Linked DNA regions of Macaca mulatta. The protein of the gene in region 1 purifies or fractionates together with the protein of each later gene. This does not show direct contact. Links are inferred from orthologs where the notes say so. Each region holds a gene or a part of one and is shown in the gene's direction. Other genes may lie near its edges.

Region 1 (4,148 bases):
GCACCTATTTCACTGGATTGTAAGGAAGAATAAACAAGATAATGAATAGTATTTGGCATAAAATCTTTCAGAAAAGTAGTAAAATTGTCATTCCTATAAATCTAACTAATGTCTTTAAAATTTATCTCACAAAACCAGTATATTTTTATTTTGTACTGAGCTATTTATTTTACCCAAATTGGGAGTTTAAAAAGAAATTCATTACTTATTTTCGAAAGGAAAATTTACCATCAAGTATAGTAAAATTTTTTTTAAAGCAGCGTTAAAAAAAAAAAAAAAGAAAGATGAGAAGCACTGGTACAGATAGTTGGAAATGTCATTTAGATTTAAATCTACAGCTTCTTAGGAAAGTTAGTTAGAGGTGTATCGCACTCCAGTATGGCTATGAGCAGATGAGCAAAACTTGCACAAGTAAGCGTGGTAAACACCAGAGAAGGCGCTTTCATGGAAGGACACCCTAGGTAACCAAGCAGTGACAATAGTACAGGTGAGTCCTCGGGTACCTTCTCTCTCCACCCCCGGCAGTGGCCCGGACAAGCACTAACCTCTCCTCTCTAGAGCCTTCCCTTTATACTAGCTCCACAACCATCAAGTCCCACCATCTGCGAAGGGAATGGTGCTACAGGTAAGGCTGGCGGGGTCAGAGGATGCCGAGACCTCTTGTCAATTCTTCGCTCGCCCCCAAACGAGGATCACGGCTGCGCGGCTCTCACTCTACCAAGAAAGATTCTGATACTAAACAAGGCTAAAACTTTTTGTTTTTTCCTTCTTACAGAAGGCACTACCTTGGACGCCGCCTGCAAACGCCTGAAGAGAAGGCAGGGTGTTTCCACTTTTTCAGAATGGGGCCAGGCCCTACGGCCCCAATAGCAGAAGCTTCTCTAACCCAGACTGCTGCCCTCAACTCCTCCTGATACGCTGACCCACAGCTCGACCTCACCTGGAAGCGGTTCCGCCAGGGGATGGCTTAGGAAAACCTCATGAAGAGCGGCCCAGCGAGTGACGCCACTAAAGCCACAGTCATGGTCTACCTCGTTCAGGCCACCAGCTCGTAGGCGCCTCAGCCACTGCGCCTCCCGCCTCTCGGTCCTTCCCCGCCGCCCCGGTACCGTCGCAGCCTTCCGCGTTGCACGCCGGGAGCGCCTTATCTCCTCTTCTCAGGGACTTCAGTTCCCAGCATGCACAAACCTCAGGCACATCTGCACTCTGGGATTTGGAGTCCTCGTTCCACGCCTTCTCATCATCCTGAACACCGAGTCCTGGGACTCCGGCGGAGAATCTAAACGTAAAGCATCACCCACGGTCGTGAATTGTAGGCTCTCTTTGCATCCGGGATCTTCTTCTGGCCCCGGCGGAGTTAGGGATGGTGTCGCTTAGCAGCCGCTGCCGCTTTGGCTTCCTTGGGGACCATTTGGCTGGACCCAGAGTCCGCGTGGAACCGCGATAGGGATCTGTCCAGCTTGGTGGTTGTGGTAGTGAGGGACCTCCGCTGGTTGCCAGGCTTGGTGTAGGTGGGTGGATCCCTGTAAGCAGGATCAGCGAGTCACTCCACGTTCAGGTTCTTTAGCCTTAGGGCCCGTGTGCCGCAGCGCAGCTACCCCGTCCCTTCCAGCCTCGGGTCCGTAATCCTGCCTTACTTCGGTTCCGGTTTCCGCCGCACAACTTCACTCATTCCAATTGTTAATTTCTGCTTCTTTTTTTTTTTTTTTTTCCAGCCCCAATTCTGCTTCTCCAAATCAAGGATCATTGTCAGCCTTCCACAGACCCTCGCGCTTGCCAAGATTAGGGTGTTCGCGCGCGTTGTGGGTAGGCGGTGTGGAGGAAGGGACCCAGAAATCTTAGTCCTAACTTATATTAGTGTTAGCAAGGAAGCCGTCACATTTTATTTAGCCGGTACACTCTCTGACAGTTTGTGCCGACTGCTATTTTTGATCAAGGCTATTTTGCCCACTTGTCTGTTTTGTGGCTAAGGCATAGTTCTTTGCTAACATAAGAAAGTTATAATGAAATAATCTGCAAAAAATGTAGGCTATTAGAAAACCAATAATGCTGTGTACCTTGAAAATGCTAATATCCACCTGTTTTGTTACAGAGGTGGAGCACAGTGAAAGAATTCAAGATGCCACCTAATATAAACTGGAAAGAAATAATGAAAGTTGACCCAGATGACCTGCCCCGTCAAGAAGAACTGGCAGATAATTTATTGATTTCCTTATCCAAGGTGCTTACTTGGTCAATAATAATAGATATATACATTAACTTATGATTATTAATAAAATATGAATTTTTTTTTCAGAAACAACTATTAATTGTCACAATCTGGAAGAGTTCTTATATTTTGCTTAAAGGTTATAAAATATAAAACAGTTGCTTTTCTGTTTACTTAGGTGGAAGTAAATGAGCTAAAAAGTGAAAAGCAAGAAAATGTGATACACCTTTTCAGAATTACTCAGTCACTAATGAAGGTTTGTATGTAGTAGGTTTTAATGATAGGTTTGGCTATTAGAGGAACTATAAAAATCTGTTCTTATATAAAGTAATCTTTGTGAAAATACTTGGTAATATCTACATCACCCCTCAAAAGTGCAATATATTTAAATGTAGATTAAGTATTTTAGTATGTAAAACATTGCTAGTTTCTACTTAAAGTTTCTAAAAGGGTATGTAGGGGAAATAGAATGAGTATGTTGAAAAATAACATAAGGAAATATATCCTGAGGTCCAAATGACAAATGCAGACAATGACTGCTATAGGGATTTGTTAAGAGGGGAAGTGATCTAAGAGGTGTCAGAAGACTTCACAGAGGATGAATACTGAGGAGTAGTTTTAGGTAAGTGGAAGGTAATGCAGTGGTAAGATAGTAAGGGAATTCTAGAGCTGTTGGTTACCATAAATAAATATTGAGGATAGGAAATAAGTTTATTCTTTACATTTGAGGAAATGCGGTGCAGCAAGTTTGTAGCAGGCTGTAGAGAAAACAAATCTTGGGTAGGTACTTTGAGATAGGTTCTTGAGGTCATTAAAGGTGTATTTTATGCTGTCAGCAATTGAGAAGGCGTTTTCGAACCACAGTTGATAGGTACAAAAATAGGCCTTAGGAAGGCAAAACTGAGTCTATTATATAGGACAAACTGAAGGAAATCGGAGCTTTGCAAACATCACATTATAGAGGAGTTTAAACCTGAAATTATGCATTAGAATAATAGCAATTGGAACAGAAAAAAAGTAGTGGAAAAACATTACAAAGAGATATGTTGCTTTACTGGATATAAGACTTGAGGACTTGAGGTAAAAGGGAGAATCAAAAATGTTTCATGCTATTAAAAATCTAGAAATTGTCGTCTTAAGTAAGAAAATTGCCTGGCATGGTGGCTCACGTCTATAATCCCAGCACTTTGGGAGGCCAAGGCAGGAGGATTGCCTGAGGCTGGGAGTTGGAGACCAGCCTGGATAATATAGTGAGACCTTGCCTCTACGAAAAAATTTGCTGAGCATGATGGCACACCAAGCATGATGGCATGCCGAGCATGATGGCACGCTGAGCATAATGGCATGCACCTGTAGTCCCAGCTACTCAGGAGACTGAGATGGGAAGATTGCTTGAGCCCAGGAGGCAGAGGTTGCAGTAAGCTGAGATTGTGCCACTGCACTCCAGCCTGGGTGACAAAGTGAGGCCCTATTTCAAAAGCGAAAAAAAAGGAGAGAAAAAATTATTTATTCATTCAACAAATATTTACTGAAAGTCTCCATGTGCCAGCCATTGCTGGCACTAATGAGCATAAGAAAACAAAATTTTTATTTTCAGTGCTTACATTCCAGTTTAAAGGCATATTGAAATAAACTTTTTTTAAATGTTTAGATGAAAGCTCAAGAAGTAGAGCTGGCTTTGGAGGAAGTAGAAAAAGCTGGAGAAGAACAAGCAAAATTTGGTAAGCACCTTGGAAAAAGTTTATTATGTTATTAAATAATGAGTTCCATTTGTTCATTAAGCTGTAGAAAATTAAATTCTATAAACTGTATATATTCAATTTATTTTTAATATATAACATTTATTTAATAATACATATTTCTAGACTCCTGTTTTATGGATCTGCCGTATAATACTTTTTGTTACCTTATAATCATGATGGACTCTTTTAAAAGAATT
Region 2 (3,520 bases), on another chromosome or scaffold:
CTGGAAAGCCAGGTGTTGGATAAGGAAGAGGAAAAGCCTTTATGGGCTGCAAATGAGAATTCTGTTCCAATGATGAGAAGTGAAATCAATACAGAGGTAAATGAGAAAGCTGGACTATTACCTTGTTCTGAGCCAACAATAATCAGCACTATCTTGAAGGATGATAACCACAGTCTTACATTTTTTCCTGAGTCAGCTGGACAGAAACAACCAGACATAAAGAAACCAGAAAATACACAACCAGAAAATAAAGAAACCATATCTCAAGCAACTTCAGAGAAAGTTCCCATGATTTTAACCCAGAGATCTGTTGTTTTGGGACAAGACAAAGTTGCCCTTCAGAAATTAAATGATGCAGCCACCAAGCTTCAGGCCTGTTGGCGGGGATTTTATGCCAGGAACTACAACCCTCAAGCCAAAGATGTGCGTTACGAAATCCGGCTACGCAGAATGCAAGAGCACATTGTCTGCTTAACTGATGAAATAAGGAGGTGGGTCATAAGTCCTTTCGATGTACTGTTTTGCTGGTTTGAGGGTGTTAGATTCTTACAGTTGATTCAGAACACTGTGCGTCTGTGATTATAACACTTTTCATACCATGTAGCCACTGTTGGTTTGGTTGTCTCCTACAGTGTACTGAAAGCATCTGGAGAGCAGAGACCATCTGTTCTGTCTGCTGCATCTCCATCCCCAGCAGAGGACTTGATACATAGATGCAGTGTAGTGGTAAATGTTCAATGAACGTGAGCTTTATAGGGATCTGTAATTCTAAACATAGAAAGGTACAGAAAACATTGAAAAACTAAGTATAAAAATGAGAAAATGATGAAGTCTACATGGAATTCAGTACATGACATAAAAATTAATAGCAGGGATTCAGAAGGGGCTAAAATTCTATAGGACTACAATAGGATTATTCCTTAATCCCATGGCTCATATGTTTTACTGACTGCTAACCCAGGAAAGTTAGGATTTCATTAATATTGTGACTAGTAATATTTATTGGTATTATCAGGTAGAAGAGGAAGAGGCAGCAAAGGATACTGAGAAAGGGCAGCCAGAGTGGTAGGAAAACTAGGAGAGTTCCACCTTCAACAGGAGAAACTGTTTCAGGAGAGATCGGAGGTGCCATAGAGAGGACACAGGCATTAGACTTGGCAGTTGGAGACTATTGGTGACTGTATTGGTGATTCTCCAGACTATCCTCAGGTTGGGTGATTTGCTAAAAGGACTCACAGAACTTGGGAAAATATTATTCTGTTTGTCATTATAGTTCATTACAGCAAAAGGATACAGATTAGAACCAGTAAAGAAAAAAGGTGCCTAGGGCAGAGTCCAGGAGAGATGAGGTGCAAGCTTCCAGTTGTTCTCTCCCAGTGTTGTACAGACAGGGCTTAATTCTCTCAGCAATGATGTATGATAACACATATGAAGTATTGCCAACTGGCAAAAGTTACCTCATCTTTGATGTCCAGGGTTTTTATTGTGGGCCAATCTCATAGGTAATGAGTACCCATGTAACTGATCTTAACTATTTAGACCTCAGGCCACTTAGAGGTCACACTGATAACTCTGTGGCTCAGGACCCCAGGTGAACACAACAGATGTTGACTAGAAATCATTGATTGCCTAAACTACCTAATGTGGACCAAGACCCCAGGTGTATAAAGATATTCTATTTCAGTCAGGATATTCCAAGGGCTTGGAGATCATCTCCCAGGAGTCAGTCAAGGACCAGTCTTCTTATCTTTGCAATGTACAGTGTTTGAACATCCCAGTCCTGCTGAGTTAACTCTTTACTGCACAATGACCTTCCCAAGAGCAGCTTCAGTGGTGTAGGGGGATGAAGGCCATTTTGGAATGGGTTGAATAGTGAATAAGAAGTAAAGAGTTTGAAGGATGAGTGTAGCCAATTCTTGGAAAGAGTTGTTTTGAGGAAAACATGAAAAAAGAGAGTTAAGTGGTATCTGGAGGAGAAATCTAGATTAAAGGAACATTCTCTTTTGGAGATGAGAGATACAGAGTGTGTTCATGTGTTGATGGAATGAATAAATAAGGAGGGAAAAACTGATGGTGCAGAAAAAAAAAAAAGAGGAAGAGCAGGATTGCAGTTCTTTTTTTTTTTTTTGAGACAGAATCTGCTCTGTTGCCTAGGCTGAAGTGCAGTGGCGCCATTTCGGCTCACTGCAAGCTCCGCCTCCCAGGTTCAGGCCATTCTCCTGCCTCAGCCTTCAGAGTAGCTGGGACTACAGGCGCCTGCCACCACACCCAGCTAATTTTGTGTATTTTTAGTAGAGATGGGGTTTCACTGTGTTAGCCAGGATGGTTTTGTTCTCCTGACCTTGTGATCCACCCGCCTCGGCCTCCCAAACTGCTGGGATTACAGGCATGAGCCACCACACCCGGCCAGGATTGCAGTTCTTGAGAAGGTAAGAGAGGAAGAAATGCAGTGTTGAAGTAGAGGAAGTGGCCTCAGATGGGAGCAGGAGCAGGTAAGGTGGTAGGTTTGATGGTGGGAGATGGGAAAAAGTCCTGTCTGCTGCTGCTGCTTTTTCAATAATGTATAAGATGTGGTCAGCGCCTGAAAATGAGGAGGGGGTGAAGGAGGTGTAAGGAAAGAAGTATGAGGTGTGAGGTAGTCATCTTAAGGATGACCTTATGAGGAAAATGGAGGAGGGTTGCTGGATGATGTGAGAAAATGCTTAAAAGTGTAAAATAATAGGTCAGGATGTATGATTTTCATCGGCAATTCTTAGCTGTTCTGTTCTGATTCAGGTGTGGTTAATTTGGTTCAGCCAGGAATGATTTTTTTCCTAGGTGATATTGTAGAGAGAGCGGGGGAAGGGCAAGAGAGCTGAAGATATTTGAGAGGGAGTAATAACGGTAGATCTTAGATTTTATATTTTTTTGAGACAGGGTCTTGCCCTGTCGCTGAGGCTGGAGTGTAGAGGCATGATCATAGCTCACTATAACCTTGAACTCCTGGGTTCAAGTGATTCTCCCACTTCAGGCTCCCAAGTAGCTGGGACTATAGGCGTGCACCACCATGCCCAGCTAATTAAAAATGTTTTTTTTTAAAGAAATGAAGTCTGTGTTGCCCAGGCTGGTCTTGAACTCCTGGCCTCAAGCAATCCTCCTGCCTCAGCCTCCTAAAGTTCTGGGATTACAGGTGTGAGTCACCTTGCTGGCTGGAATTTTTTTTTTTTTTTTTTTTTAAGATGGAGTCTCCCTCTTGTCACCTAGGCTGGAGTGCAATGGCGCGATCTCGGCTCATTGCAACCTCTGCCTCCCGGGTTCAAGTAATCCTCCTGCCTCAGCCTCCCGAGTAGGTGGGATTACAGGAACCCACCACATGCCCAGCTAATTTTTTTTTTTTTTTTTCATTTTCAGTACAGATAGGGTTTCACTATGTAGGCCAGGCTGGTCTCAAATTCCTGACCTCAGGTGATCCGCATGCCTTGGCCTCCCAAAGTGCTGGGATTACAGGCGTGAGCCACTGTGCCCAGCCTGGCTGGAATTT
Region 3 (2,338 bases), on another chromosome or scaffold:
AGCTCTCCTACCTTTTATCACCAGCTTTGGCGTCTTATGAATTTGAGCGTACAACAAGTATTTCAGCAGGCAATGAAGAATTTCAAGATGCCATAAGAAGGGCTGTGCCTGATGGTCACACATTTAAAGGGTTCCCAATACATTTTGTGTATAGAAATGCAAGACGTGCATTTGCCACATGTCTTCGGTAAGGTGTAATTTATGGAATCCTTTTTTCAGTTTAGGAATCTTAGAGATCAGTCTGGCAGGGTTTTTTTTATTTTTTTAACTCAAGGTCTTGCTCTGCTGCCCATGCTGGAGTATAGTGGCACAGTTATGGCTCACTGCAGCCTGGACCTCCTGGGCCCAAGTGATCCTTCCACCTCACTCTTCCAAGCAACTGGGACCACAGGCACGTGCCACCATATGTGGCTATTTTTTTTTAAATCTTTATTTTGTAGAGATGGGGTCTTCCTATGTTACCCAGGCTGGTCTTGAACTCCTGGGCTCAAGCAGTCTTCCCACCTCGGCCTCCCAAAGTGCTGGGATTGCACGTGTGAGCCATTGCACCCAGCCTAATCTGGTAGTTATTTAGGAATGACATCTGAGTCACATGGGAGCTTTTCAGTGACTTACCCTCCTTGCCACAGATTTTGATTCATTTGGTCTGAAATGTAGCCCTAGATAGTCTGGGATGATTTTCCCAGTGATTTTGGTGTAGTCTCAGGTATCTCTGATTTTGTTTGGACTATAAGGAAATAGTCTGTAATTTGAATAGCTTGACCAAAATTATAGTGTCTTTGATAGCAGAGACAGAATTTGAAAAAATTATTTTATTTATTTATTTTTGAGATGGAGTCTCAGTCTGTCACCCAGGCTAGAGTGCAGTGGCACAATCTTGGCTCACTGCAACCTCTGCCTCCCGGATTCAAGTGATTCTCCTGCCTCAGCCTCCCAAGTAGCTGGGATTACAGACACCTGCCACCATATCTGGCTAATTTTTGTAATTTTTAGTAGAGATGGGGTTTCACTATGTTGGCCAAGCTGGTCTTGAACTCCTGACCTCAGGTGATCCACCTGTCTCGGCCTCCCAAAGTGCTGAGATTACAGGCATGAGCCACCATGCCTAGCCTGAAAAAATTATTTGAAATACTGATTTACTTGCAAATAAGAAAGTAAAGTGTATGGTCACTTCTTAATTGAATAATTTTTTTTTCTTAAATAGATCTCCTTTCTGTGAAGAAATAATCTGTTGCCGTGGAGACCAAGTGCGACTGGCAGTTCGTGTCCGAGTGTTTACTTACCCTGAATCTGCATGTGCTGTTTGGATCATGTTTGCTTGTAAATATCGCTCGGTATTATAGGGCCAATATTTATGTAAGAATTATACCTGTGTGTAATTAGAATTTTACACATTGTACATTACTTAGCTATTTAGAGGTTTGTTATTTTAAAATCACAATCTGGCTTGAATGGCATGTTTCAATTTTGTATATAATTGACTGGTAATGTTTAAAAAAAAATCATGTGTTCCTTTAAAAATTAAGGCTGAAAAACTTGTATAAATCTCCCTGGAATTTAGTATAAATTAAGTGTATATTCTATTTTAATAAATGCTACTTTGTTTACAGTTACCAGTAGTTTAAATATTAATATAAAATGCATTCAGTTTTCTTTACACTAACAGGTAATCAAAGAGAGATTTGTCTAAGGGTTTGAGCCCTAGAAAAATCAATATGATCATTACTTTTCACAGGTTAATGGGATTATTTTATACAAATTAGGAGAAATTAACTTCATGACAGATTTATTTATTGCATTGGTAAAAATAAATGTTGATGAATTATCACTTTTGTGGTTTATTCCTAGCCCTTGGGATATTTGAGACTGTCCAGAAATTTAAGGTTGGACCTTGAAGCAAGAATAGGAAAAAACTAATACCAGAAAAGCATGACTATTAATAACCTCATATGAAAGTACATGAATCATTTAGAAATATTTATCAGTGTGATTCATTGTAAAAATGAACTGGGTATTTTAGAAAAAATTTATTATACCTCTTTGTTACGATACTGATAAATTGTGATCTTGCAGTCTATCACTGATTTTCTGTGGTCAGAGGATTCATTACTAGCCTCTTCATGGATTCTATCTTCTGAAACCCTTTTTTCTTTCTTTTCATTGTGATAAAAAAATCAGCATATATGTGACTAAATGAGAGATTATGTGAGACCACAGAAAACAAGCATATGTGAGTGACTCCATACTGATTTTTGTTTTAAAATTGAGCACGTTTTCAAAGTTTTTTTTTTTTTTTTTTTTTTTTTGAGACGGAGTCTTGCTCTGTCACCCAGGCTGG
Region 4 (3,520 bases), on another chromosome or scaffold:
CCCCGTACTTGAACCCGCGTGTCCACCATCACCCAGGCACCATCATGATGAGCGGCTGTGGGATCCTGACCAATGGCAAGGGCACCCGCCGGGAGTACTGCGAATTCAGTCTGGATGAGCTGCAGGTGAGGGTGGCACACAGATCCTTGGACCACTTTCCAGCAGAGCCACAGGTACTCTGTGACCCTGCCAGGGCACCAAGCAGGGTCTCCTGTGTGACCTAGAGCCAGTCCCTGTATCTTCTACCTAAAGGTTCCTTCCGAGAAGGCAGAGTTGCCCAAGAGTTCAGCACTCAGATTTTGGAGTCAGATGGTTGAATTCCTCTTACTGTTTTCCCATTTGTAGTGGCGAACCGAGGCAAGAAGCTTATCCTCTTTCATTGCTCCCCCAGCCCCTGCAATCTCTAAAATGAGCCTACAAGTAGTACTCATTCCATAGGCTGAGACTTGTAGAAGCTGATGTCTGTGAGGTGGTTTAACTCAGTGCCTGACTCACGTGGAGCATTGAGGAAATGTAGAAACTGTCATGTCTGGAAAACAAGGACCCAGGACCCGTCCTCCAGGATGGTCTGAGACTGGCGAATGCCTTCTGGAGTTGTTCCTGTGTGGAGTGGGGTGCTCGGCAGGCCTCGGGACTCCTCTGAACTATTCGTCTTCTTTGAGTAGGAGGGTGACCACATTGGCCTCACAAGGAAGTCCAACTCTGCCCTGCACTTCTTCATTAATGGTATCGATCAGGGTAAGGGTCGCTCAGAGAGGGCCTCTGGGCTGGGGCTTTCGGTGAGGCTGGGACTGGGGGCTGTACTTCATCCTCCTGCTTCTCTTTGGTGCTTGGTCTCCGTGTTTGACTTTCTCCCCTCATTCTCCCTGCCCACTCCCACACCCCCGAACCTTCCTGCAACAGGAGTGGCAACCCCCTTGACGCCCCCAGTGGTGTATGGCGTGGTGGACTTGTACGGGATGGCTGTGAAGGTGACCATCGTCCACAATAACAACCACAGTGACCGTCTCCGCCGCAACAACGCCATCCTGCGGGCGCTGTCCCCCGAGGGCGCTCTCCGCCGTGCTGCCCCTGCCGCTCAGGCAGAACCTGAGCGCCTGCTCTTCCACCCCAACTGTGGGCAGAAGGCAGCCATCACCCACGAGGGACGCACTGCCCTGAGGCCCCAGTATGGCCCATGGGGTGGGGAGAAGCCTGAAGAAGGGGTTCTAATGGGAGGGGGCCAGGGCACGGAAGTAGAAGGCAGAGGGAGCCTGGCGGGGGCAGCCTGGCGGGGTGGAGGTTGAGGTTGAGTTCTTTGGCTTGGGGCCGTGAATGTTGGCAGGCATTGCTGGGCTAAGCCTTGGCACGTTGAGAGCGTGTGTTGGGGATCTGACTCTCCACTTTCTGTTCCCTCAGTGCCACCGATGACTTCAATCATGGCGTGGTGCTGAGCAGCAGAGCCCTGCGGGATGGAGAGGTGTTCCAGGTGCGCATCGACAAGATGGTGGACAAATGGGCTGGCTCCATTGAAATTGGTGTCACCACCCACAACCCTGCCTACCTCCAGTTGCCCTCCACCATGACCAACTTGCGCTCTGGTGAGCTCCCAGCAAGGGCAGGGCCAGGACAGGGTTTTGGGGGGAAGCTGTCCCCAAAGCCCTGGCACTTGTTCTCCAGCTTCTTTTTCACTTGTCACTCTTGTGACCACTCATTCAGTGGCTAGAGAGTGCCCCGTGGGCAGGGCTGTGGCTGTCTTGGAAGCTGCAGAGTTTTGTTGTCCTGCTCAGGGAAGAAAGCTAGTCGTCAAAGAAAAGGCAAGATGGGCTGTGGGCTCAGGAGTTCTGTGGGGGCTGCTATGGAAAGGAGAGGAGCCCTTCCTTTCCCTTCATGTCCTCTACTGCTCCTTGTCCTCCCAGGGACCTGGATGATGACTGGGAATGGGGTGATGCACAATGGGACGACCATCCTGGATGAATACGGGCACAACCTGGACCGCCTCAAGGTGGGAAAGTGGGTGTGCTGCCTGGCGGCCGCAGCGGGCATCACAAACACCACAGGGCTGATGCAGGACCAGCCCCGGCAGGAACTCTGCCTGACTCCTCACTCCAGCACCCCCTTCTTCCAAGGCAGGGGACACGGTGGGCGTGGTACGGCGGGAGGACGGGACTCTCCACTTCTTTGTCAATGGGATGACTCAGGGCCCTGCTGCCTGGAACGTGCCCCCGGGCGTCTATGCTGTCGTCGATCTCTATGGCCAGGCGGCCCAGGCCACCATTGTGGACGACGTGGGTGAGGGCCGGGCTAGGCTGGGGCCGGGGGTTAGGGTGGCCTTGGGAGGTCTGAGAGACACTTAGAGATCTAATGGGTGATGATGTCCACTTTTACAGAGGTGTCTCCAGTTCCTGAATCACTTCCTGAGGGGAATAACCAGGTGTCTCCAAGCTCTCCATCCTCAGGGGCAGGGGGCTCTGACCTGCGTTTCCACCAGCTGCACGGCAGTAACGCAGTCATCACCAATGGGGGCCGCACTGCCCTCCGCCACAACTGTCGCAGCGAGTTTAATGACGCCATCGTCATCTCCAACCGGTCAGTCTCTCAACTTTCATGTCCCCACCTTCCTCCTGCCCAGCCTCAGCCACCCAAGTGGAGCCTCTCTGATCACCAGTCTCCCTGGCAGGGCCCTGCGGGATGGAGAGCTGTTTGAAATTGTCATTCAGAAGATGGTGGACCGCTGGTCAGGCTCCATTGAGGCTGGTGAGGGGCGTCTGTGTGTGTTGGGGGCCGTTGGATGTCTGTGCCTTGGGGGATCGGCCTTGACTTACCTCTGCCTCCTACCAGGAGTGACTGCTATTCGGCCTGAAGACCTGGAATTCCCTAACACCATGACAGACATTGACTATGACACATGGATGCTGAGGTTGGGCTTCCTGCTTTGGGGGCCAGCTTGGGGCTGAGTGGAGCTGGCTGGCATCAGGGAAGCAAGGTTTCGGCCTATGGTGGCTGTGGGCAGTGACAGACCTAGGGGATCTGCCTGTCCCCTCTCTTGGATTCTGGGAAGCCCTGCTCAGGCCCACAGGGGCTCAGTCCTCCTTCATCTTAGGTAGTTCTTGCTTTTCCCTGAGGGGATCCCAGGGACAAACGAGATAGGACTGGGCCTTACACCCAGATCAAGACCCCAGCCCAAGGCATTGGAAGGTTCTGACAGGCAGGGAGTGGGCGGGGGCCAATGTGAAGTTGAAGCTGGCAGGCTGACTCACCCCTTCTGCCATCCCCCCAGTGGTACAGCCATCATGCAAGATGGTAACACGATGCGCAACAATTACGGGTGTGACCTGGATGCGCTGGGCACAGGTGCACGCATTGGCATGATGCGAACTGCCAAGGGCGATCTGCACTACTTCATCAACGGCCAGGACCAAGGCGCTGCCTGCTCGGGCCTGCCTCCGGGTAAAGGTGACTATGTGGCTTTCAGCCTGCCACCCTCAGCCCAGACCACCTGGCTGTCAGGCTTCTGACCTTCCCTCTCCTCCCCAGAGGT

The links. The genes of interacting proteins can lie anywhere in the genome.
Region 2: the proteins of CEP290 (region 1) and CEP97 purify together in Homo sapiens (co-immunoprecipitation; 4 studies listed by BioGRID and IntAct, with this or other methods). This does not show direct contact. The link is inferred for Macaca mulatta from reciprocal best matches to the Homo sapiens genes CEP290 and CEP97.
Region 3: the proteins of CEP290 (region 1) and CEP76 purify together in Homo sapiens (co-immunoprecipitation; 5 studies listed by BioGRID and IntAct, with this or other methods). This does not show direct contact. The link is inferred for Macaca mulatta from reciprocal best matches to the Homo sapiens genes CEP290 and CEP76.
Region 4: the proteins of CEP290 (region 1) and NEURL4 purify together in Homo sapiens (affinity purification with mass spectrometry; 3 studies listed by BioGRID and IntAct, with this or other methods). This does not show direct contact. The link is inferred for Macaca mulatta from reciprocal best matches to the Homo sapiens genes CEP290 and NEURL4.

Annotation. Positions count from the first base shown.
Region 1 is NC_133416.1:95,386,590-95,390,737, reverse strand, and holds the start of CEP290 (centrosomal protein of 290 kDa), read left to right. Parts: upstream 1-1,336; 5' UTR 1,337-1,511; intron 1,512-1,616; exon of another isoform or gene 1,617-1,806; intron 1,807-2,092; 5' UTR 2,093-2,119; coding exon 2,120-2,221; intron 2,222-2,387; coding exon 2,388-2,465; intron 2,466-3,860; coding exon 3,861-3,930; intron 3,931-4,148. UniProt on the Homo sapiens protein: Involved in early and late steps in cilia formation. Its association with CCP110 is required for inhibition of primary cilia formation by CCP110.
Region 2 is NC_133407.1:181,849,189-181,852,708, reverse strand, and holds part of CEP97 (centrosomal protein of 97 kDa), read left to right. Parts: coding exon 1-491; intron 492-3,520. UniProt on the Homo sapiens protein: Acts as a key negative regulator of ciliogenesis in collaboration with CCP110 by capping the mother centriole thereby preventing cilia formation. Required for recruitment of CCP110 to the centrosome.
Region 3 is NC_133423.1:83,348,655-83,350,992, reverse strand, and holds the end of CEP76 (centrosomal protein of 76 kDa), read left to right. Parts: coding exon 1-187; intron 188-1,204; coding exon 1,205-1,343; 3' UTR 1,344-1,828; downstream 1,829-2,338. UniProt on the Homo sapiens protein: Centrosomal protein involved in regulation of centriole duplication. Required to limit centriole duplication to once per cell cycle by preventing centriole reduplication.
Region 4 is NC_133421.1:8,816,977-8,820,496, reverse strand, and holds part of NEURL4 (neuralized-like protein 4), read left to right. Parts: intron 1-36; coding exon 37-125; intron 126-665; coding exon 666-738; intron 739-903; coding exon 904-1,168; intron 1,169-1,398; coding exon 1,399-1,580; intron 1,581-1,898; coding exon 1,899-1,984; intron 1,985-2,108; coding exon 2,109-2,271; intron 2,272-2,369; coding exon 2,370-2,568; intron 2,569-2,659; coding exon 2,660-2,736; intron 2,737-2,820; coding exon 2,821-2,899; intron 2,900-3,259; coding exon 3,260-3,435; intron 3,436-3,516; coding exon 3,517-3,520. UniProt on the Homo sapiens protein: Promotes CCP110 ubiquitination and proteasome-dependent degradation. By counteracting accumulation of CP110, maintains normal centriolar homeostasis and preventing formation of ectopic microtubular organizing centers.